Linked DNA regions of Oryctolagus cuniculus. The protein of the gene in region 1 interacts with the protein of each later gene in a biochemical or structural test. Links are inferred from orthologs where the notes say so. Each region holds a gene or a part of one and is shown on either strand. Other genes may lie near its edges.

Region 1 (3,518 bases):
ACATGGGAGTCGGTGGGGGGTGCGGCCACGCACGTGCTAAGCTGCTGCGTCAGGAGCCGTCCGTCCTGGGGCAGCTTGGCGGAGTGGAGGGGTAAGTGCAGACGGATGACGGAGAAGCAGGAGGTGCACCTCGCGGGGGGCTCCTAGGAGGTGCAGGCAGGGGACACTCCCGGGGGCTTGTGGGGCAGAGCTGCTCCCGCCACAGCCGTCCTGCACTCCATGGATATGCGCCTATGGCACAGCCGGACGGCAGCGAATCTACAAAGACGTCTGATTTATGACTAAATGGTGGGGGGCTGGCTGTGGCGTAGCAGATAAAGCTGCAGCCTGCTGGCGTCCATATGGGCGCCAGTTCGAGACCCAGCTGCTCCACTTCTGATCTAACTCTCTGCTATGGCTCCTGGCTTCAGACTGGCGCAGCTCTGGCTGTTGTAGCCATCTGGGGAGTGAACAATCGGACAGAAGATCTCTCTCTCTCTCTCTGCCTTTCTGTAACTCTGCCTTTCAAATAAATAAATAAATATTAAAAAAAAGACTACATGGTGGGTTGGCATTGTAGCACAGTGGGCAAAGCCACCACCTGTGACGCTGGCATCCCATGTGGGTGCCAGTTCAAGTCCTGGCTGCTCCATTTCCGATCCAGCTCTCTGCTAATGTGCCAGGGAAAGTAGTGGAAGATGGCCCAAGTGCTTGGGTCCCTACTCTTGTGGGAGACCCAGAGGGGGCTCCTGGCTTCGCTCCGGCCCAGTGCTGGCCATGGCAGCCGTCTGGGGAATGAACCAGCAGATGGAAGACTCTCTGACTCCCCCCTTCTCTGCAACTCTGTGAAAATCAATCTGGGGGGGGGGCTGGATGACGATTCATGCTGTGAAATGACAGAGGGGCGTCAGGCAGGTGACATCACAGCAGTGAGGATTCACGTCCGCCCTGGGCAGCTGTTTCCTGCACAGAGGGCTGGGGAGGGGAGGGCGGCAGCACCACGCTCCTGGGGCCCAGCAGGGACTCAGCCACCCGGGACTCTTCCAGGCCACAGGGCTTCTCCATGCCTATCCCCACACGTCGCTGTCTTCCTGCGCCTGACGGGACTGAGATGGGAAAGCCAACCCTCCACTCTGTCACCAGCACCGCAGCTGTCCCGCGGCTCCCTGGGGGGCGCCGCTGACCCAGCCGGCATTTGCAGAGCCGGCCTGGCCTGCAGGCTGCCGTGCACCGTCCAATCAGCTCTTCCCTCAGCTGAGAACACCCTCCACAGGGAGCACGCGCTCCCTCCGCGTGGCCTGGCCCTGCAGGGAGCGTACGGCCTACCGGGCACCTGGGCAGACGCTGCCCTGGCACTGCCAACACTGGCTCTGCTCTGCGCTGCGCTGGCCGGGCTCTGCCCACACGCAGGACTCTGGCACGACACAGCACTCTGGTGCCGGCAGCGCAGGGAGCTGCTGGTGCAACGGGCCCCGAGCGGGCGTAGCCACTAGGTGGCGCTGCACACCGCTTAGGAGGAGTCTGGGGCCTCGTCCACTTCCCCCGCGTTTGGAACTGGGCATTTGCGAGTGGCCTTTCTCCCCTGCTCTGATGTGAATTCGCCATCTGCATCAGCTGGGGCCACGTGATCTGAAATCTTTGCCAAGCTAAATTCTCCCCCGACTGAAAACCCGCCTGATCAAATGATTCGGGAAACATTTGTTGCTGTGTCACATCTGGCATCGCGCTGAGTGCGGGGACCCAGGCGATGACTTGGCTCTCAAAGAACTCAGCTGGCCAGGTGGGGGGGGGGGCGCTCACCTGTGCGTGACCGCTCCGTACTCCCCGGCCAGGGCCACTCGGCTGGCTGGGACGAGCTCCTGGCTCATGGTCCTGAAGATGGCCTCGCTGGAGGAGCCGGCCTGCAGCGGCAGCAGGAAAGACCAGGGTTACACAGACGCGGCCGCGTGCCTGGGGCCAGCTCTGACCTTCAGGCGGAGGAGGCAACGCTGTGAGGTGGGAAGCCAAGCCTCCACACTCCCGGTCCCAAGGCCCGCATCCCAGCCAGAAACTGCACGCGCCGGTATGGAGCGCGGGGGGCCGGGCCGCTCTCTGCCTCCGCCGTGGGTGCGTGTTCTGAGCAGGGGCGTGCCAGGGGTGGATTAATTCTCTAAACCCAACCTCGACGGGTGGGGAAAGATTCCTCTAACAGACAGACCCACGCTCATGTCGGGGAAAGTATTCTACTTGCCAGGGCCTTCCGAGAGCTGAGAGCGGGGCTGACAGGCGAGGCCTCCAGCTGGGGGTGGGGGTGGGGCGGGGGGGCCGGCTCCTCGCCAGCATGGTGGTGGTTCCAAGCAACGGCCGGCCAGACGTGAGCCCACCGATGGGTCTGGAAGCCACTGGTGCGGGCACTCGCTCCTGCGTGGCCCACAGACCCACTGCACTGGCACCCCCCAGGAGCTGGCTCCAGAGGCAGGACCCGAGGCCCCCCCCTGAGCTGCTCAGTCCCAGGTGGCTGCGGACAGGTTACAGGGAGCTCTGGACCCCGGGAGAGATGGCGAGGGGGCGGGGCCACACGTTCCCTAGCTCCCGCCCGGAGGACCCTCCCCAGGGCCCACCAAGACCCCGCGCTGTGGGCGACGCCGACTCAGCAGAGGAAGGGCCGCCCTTACCGAGATGTTCCACATCATCTTGATGGCCAAGGGAAAGGCAGGGGTGGCGGGAGCGTGCGCCTCCTGGGCTCCTGCTGCCGCGGGATCCGGGCCGCTCCCCGGGCGCCGGGCACCCTGTGCCACCTCCAGGCGCACAGGCAAGGCGGGCATGGCGGCTTCGTAGACGGCGGCGCTGCAGCCCTTGCCGATGGGCTGCCCGATCAGGTACTCCTCCAGCTGGAAGCCCTGCCGGCGCCTGGCGGCCAGCGGGTCGGCCTCCAGCCTGCTTCTCTGGGTGAAGATGGCCTGCGAGGGAGAGAGCGCTCCGTGAGCCAGGGAGCCGGGAAGGGAAGGAAGAGAGCCGGCGGGGAGAGGTGTTCCGAGGCAGGGGCCTCACACCCACAGTCCCAGAGTCCATAAAAACCCAACCGCACCGGGCCTGACTGCTCCCCGGGGCTCGGGCCACTCTGCCTGAGCACATTTTCACGTCCTTTCCCTGCACCGCGATGACAGGCACAGCCCAGTGTGGCGGGGGCGAGGTCAGGACGTCTGAGTCCCGGGGACACATGGTCCTCTGCTGCCCCCACCCCGGCAGTCCTGCAGCCGCCTGACTGTGCAGCCGGCTCCCCACAGGGCCCTGGCCCTGGCCCCGCGGCAGGCAAGCAGATGAGACCAGGCGCGCCCCGGAGCAGTCACTCAGCCCTGCCTGGCTGTTGCTGCCTCTCGGGCCTCTGGTGGGTCACCCGGTTCAGTACAGGTTCTGCCAGGGGCAGGTGGCTGCTGGGCCCTGCGTGGTGCTAAGGAAACAGCCTATCCCCGAAACGCTGGGCTCGCCTCCGCGTCAGACTCAGGGCCGTCACCTCACCCGCCCAGGCGCTGCTTCCTCTCGGAGAGTCTCATATGCCG
Region 2 (3,518 bases), on another chromosome or scaffold:
TAGTGTAAGACCCACACTGTTTGATGTAACACGAAGGGAAAATGCTGTCAATTAAACTGATAATGTTTAACTGAGCCATCCTGGTTTGAAAGGTGTCAAAATATATAAAAAACATGTGTCCTAGATTTGATGAAAACATGGATTAATGCTAGGAAAGTACTGTGTCTATCCCCTAGGCTAGAATTCAACTGTTAGAAATCTATCAACTAGGCATTTGAAGACAAGAACAAATACATTTAGATAATTGTATGAGAACTTTGGTCTCTCTCGCTCCTTCCCTCCCCGCCCCCCTTTTTCATTGGTTAGTTCCTCTAGCATCATGCCATGTACTTATGTGTGTTTCAGATGTATTATTGAGGGCAATGGTAATAGATCACTCTTACTGTCCTTATTCATCTCTCTTGGCAGTTCTGATACCCGATTTGCAGTTTCATTGAACAACAAGGATGCCCTCACTGGAGATGAAGAGACCTTGGCTTCATATGGGATTGTTTCTGGGGACTTGATATGTTTGATTCTTGAAGATGCCATTCCAGCAGCTAACTTGCCTTCATCCACAGATTCAGAGAATTCCTCAGTCCAGAATAATGACCACCCCTCTTTGGCCGCCAGCTCCAGTCAGGCCAGCCAGCCCGATGAACAACTGCGCGATTCATTCCAAGAACAGGCAGCTCAGTCTGACGTCTGGCATGATGACAGCATGGTAGGTATGAAGGGCCCACGTGTGAAGTGGAGTAGTTGATAACTCACATTGAACTCCTCCGTTGAACTCCTGATCATTCAGGATAGTTACTACCAGGCGACTGCAGGTTACATTCTCAGAGAACGTTATTTTTTTAAAAAACTGCTAAAGGTCTGAAGCAGTATGGGGCTGTTATTCCAGAGTGTCTAGTTTGTACCTTGATGTTTTGTTCACTCACTGTTTTGGCTACAGTACCCATTGGCTTTGGCGGCTGTCTCTGTGCTCCTGATCCCCAGCTTGGCTTCTTGGGAAGCTACCCCACAAAGCTGTTCTAGTCCAGTGATTTCCACAAGGCTTGAGGACACGTGCACCCGGAGTGCTTAAACTGTTAAGTTAGTCTTGAGATGTCTAACACGAACTCGGAAGGCTGTGCACATCCCATCCTTCTCTGCCCGTCGGTGGCACAGCTGTTTTCCTGTGGTTTTTGACTCCTGATCGCCAGCCCGTTAACCAGCTGCGTCAGTTTTTCTTTTTCATGTTAGGCTTCCAATGTCTTCTTCAATCTGCTTTCAAGTTTTGCCATTTTCCTATGTTCTTCATTTTCTTGTTTCTTTGCTCTGTAGTAACTGTCTAGTAAATAGACCATAATTTTTGAGCTGAAAAAAAAATCAAGTTCCATCTGTATTTTTTTTTAAGATTTATTTATTTATTTGCAAGGCAGAGTTAGAGAGAGAGAAACAGAGAGAGAGAGAGACATCTTCCATCGCTGGTTCACTCCCAGATGACCGCAACAGCCGGAGCTTCTTTCCGGTCTCACACGCCGGTGCAGGGGCCCAAGGACTTGGGCCATCTTCTACTGCTTTTGCAGGCCATAGCAGAGAGCTGGATCGGAAGCGGAGCAGCTGGGACTGCGGCAGCGGCTTTACCCGCTGTGCCACAGCGCCGCCACAGCGCCGGGGCCTCCGTCTGTCTTAAAGAGGAAAATGTTGTCTGTCTTCCTGTTCCTAGTTTTCGAGGCTTTCTGGAAAGCTGCCTCCCCCTCCCCTTTCCAGGGCTGGTTTTTGTTCTCCCTCCTGTAAACGCCTGTCTCCTGCCAGACCAGACTGCTTCATCATCTCCACCCACCAGCCAGCACATCACAGGCTCCGGGGCCCAGGCGCACACGGCAGTGACCCCTTCTGCACCTTAGCTCTCGTTGTTCACCCACACTGAGGCCCCCTGCCTGTCCTGCCTCTCGGTCTGTATGTCTGCCCATCTCCCCAGGCCTGTGCCTGCTGTAACCCAACGTTTGATTTGATTTCTTTGGATTGTTTATCTTGTTTTATCAACACCTCTATATTATCCCATTTAAAAATTTAAAAATTTATTTTATGGTACAAATGATTACTTTTTTTACTTTTGAAAATACAAACACATGCCTTTTTGTTAATTGTTTTGTGTGTATACTTTTTTTAAAAAACAAGGATTTATTTATGTGAAAGAGTTACAGAGAGGCAGAGGCAGAGAGCGAAGTCTTCCCTTCCGCGGTTCACTCCCCAGATGGCTGCAACGGCCAGAGCTGGGCTGATCTGAAGCCAGGAGCCTCTTCTGGATCTCCCGTGAGCGTGGGAGGCCTTGGGCCATCTTCCACTGCTTTCCCAGGCCATGGCAGAGAGCTGGATCAGAAGTGGAGCAGCTGGGACCTGAACTAGCACCCACATGGGAGGCTTTACCACTACGCCAGAGCGCTGGCCCCTTGTGTGTGTACTTGCCATCTCAGCCAAAGCATTCATGGTACCTCTCATGGCATTAAGTTTAGATAGATACTAAAACAACACTTTTTAACAGATTGGTAAATTGTGGAAAATCACTTATGTCTGAATAAATGGATTTTAATTTATTTTAGAAACTATTGGATCTCTGTGTTTCTGCCTCATAGAGATAATTTAGAGAATAAGTAAGAATATTTAGATACATTTTAAAATTGCACTTCCAAGGTTTTTTTTTTTTTTTGCTGAGCAAGGGATAACTTTAGTAGAAGGGCTTATTCTCTGTGTACATTAAACAAGGTGAAGCTTTTCATAGCGTAGGAGAATGTTGAGAAGTTAGTGTTGCCTCAAGTTAATAATTTCAGTACTAAAACCATTGTGTGGTATTCCAAGGGTTGTGACTGGAAAAACTCAGCATGGTAACCAAGCCTAAATAACCCCGTGAGTACTTGATACAGTATGATCTGCTTCAGTGTGGAATGGAGCCATAGAAAAGGAAATAGATGGGGAAAGTTTAAAACCATAGGAGATACATTTCACCCTTGTAATCAAACAAGAAATTGATTTTCTGATTTCACTGTCTTTGAGAACTCATCTAGTGTGTGTTGAGTCTTTAATGAGGAACAGAGGTGGAGGTGTCAGAGATCTCTTAGGTACGTGTTAGTCACCCATTTCAGTCCCTTGCCAGTGGCCGTGGCAAAGTGATCTGCTCTGAGAGGTGGTGCCCAGCACCCAGCACGTGTGAAGAAGATAACCGTTATCAGCGCGGCTCAGGGCGTGGGCCGCTTCTCGCGGCGTGGGAGGCCGTTTGGACAAGTCTGCCGGGGCCTTGCGCTCTTCCTCCTGTGTGATTATCAGCTTAGGGTGACCCTGTTTCTATTTTCCCACAAATGTGAGAACAGCTCTCACCTCTCACTCCACCCTTTCACTCACACTGTATAGTTTTAATTTCCTCTGCCCTTTCTTTAGCGGGAATACAGATGTAAAAGGAGAAACATGTGCTTTGCCTTAAGAGTGGGGCTCTTGCCTAGGAAACAAGCTTGCCGAGCAAAGCTAACGTAGCTGACTTGGTTTCGCTGAAGCTGTGT

The links.
Region 2: the proteins of PINK1 (region 1) and FBXO7 form a complex in vitro, tested with the Homo sapiens proteins (2 studies listed by BioGRID, with this or other methods). The link is inferred for Oryctolagus cuniculus from reciprocal best matches to the Homo sapiens genes PINK1 and FBXO7.

The regions. Positions count from the first base shown.
Region 1 is NC_091438.1:150,132,083-150,135,600, forward strand, and holds part of PINK1 (serine/threonine-protein kinase PINK1, mitochondrial), read right to left. Parts: intron 2,919-3,518; coding exon 2,634-2,918; intron 1,881-2,633; coding exon 1,780-1,880; intron 1-1,779. UniProt on the Homo sapiens protein: Serine/threonine-protein kinase which acts as a sensor of mitochondrial damage and protects against mitochondrial dysfunction during cellular stress.
Region 2 is NC_091442.1:110,392,223-110,395,740, forward strand, and holds part of FBXO7 (F-box only protein 7), read left to right. Parts: intron 1-408; coding exon 409-703; coding exon of another isoform or gene 704-707; intron 708-3,518. UniProt on the Homo sapiens protein: Substrate recognition component of a SCF (SKP1-CUL1-F-box protein) E3 ubiquitin-protein ligase complex which mediates the ubiquitination and subsequent proteasomal degradation of target proteins and plays a role in several biological processes such as cell cycle, cell proliferation, or maintenance of chromosome stability.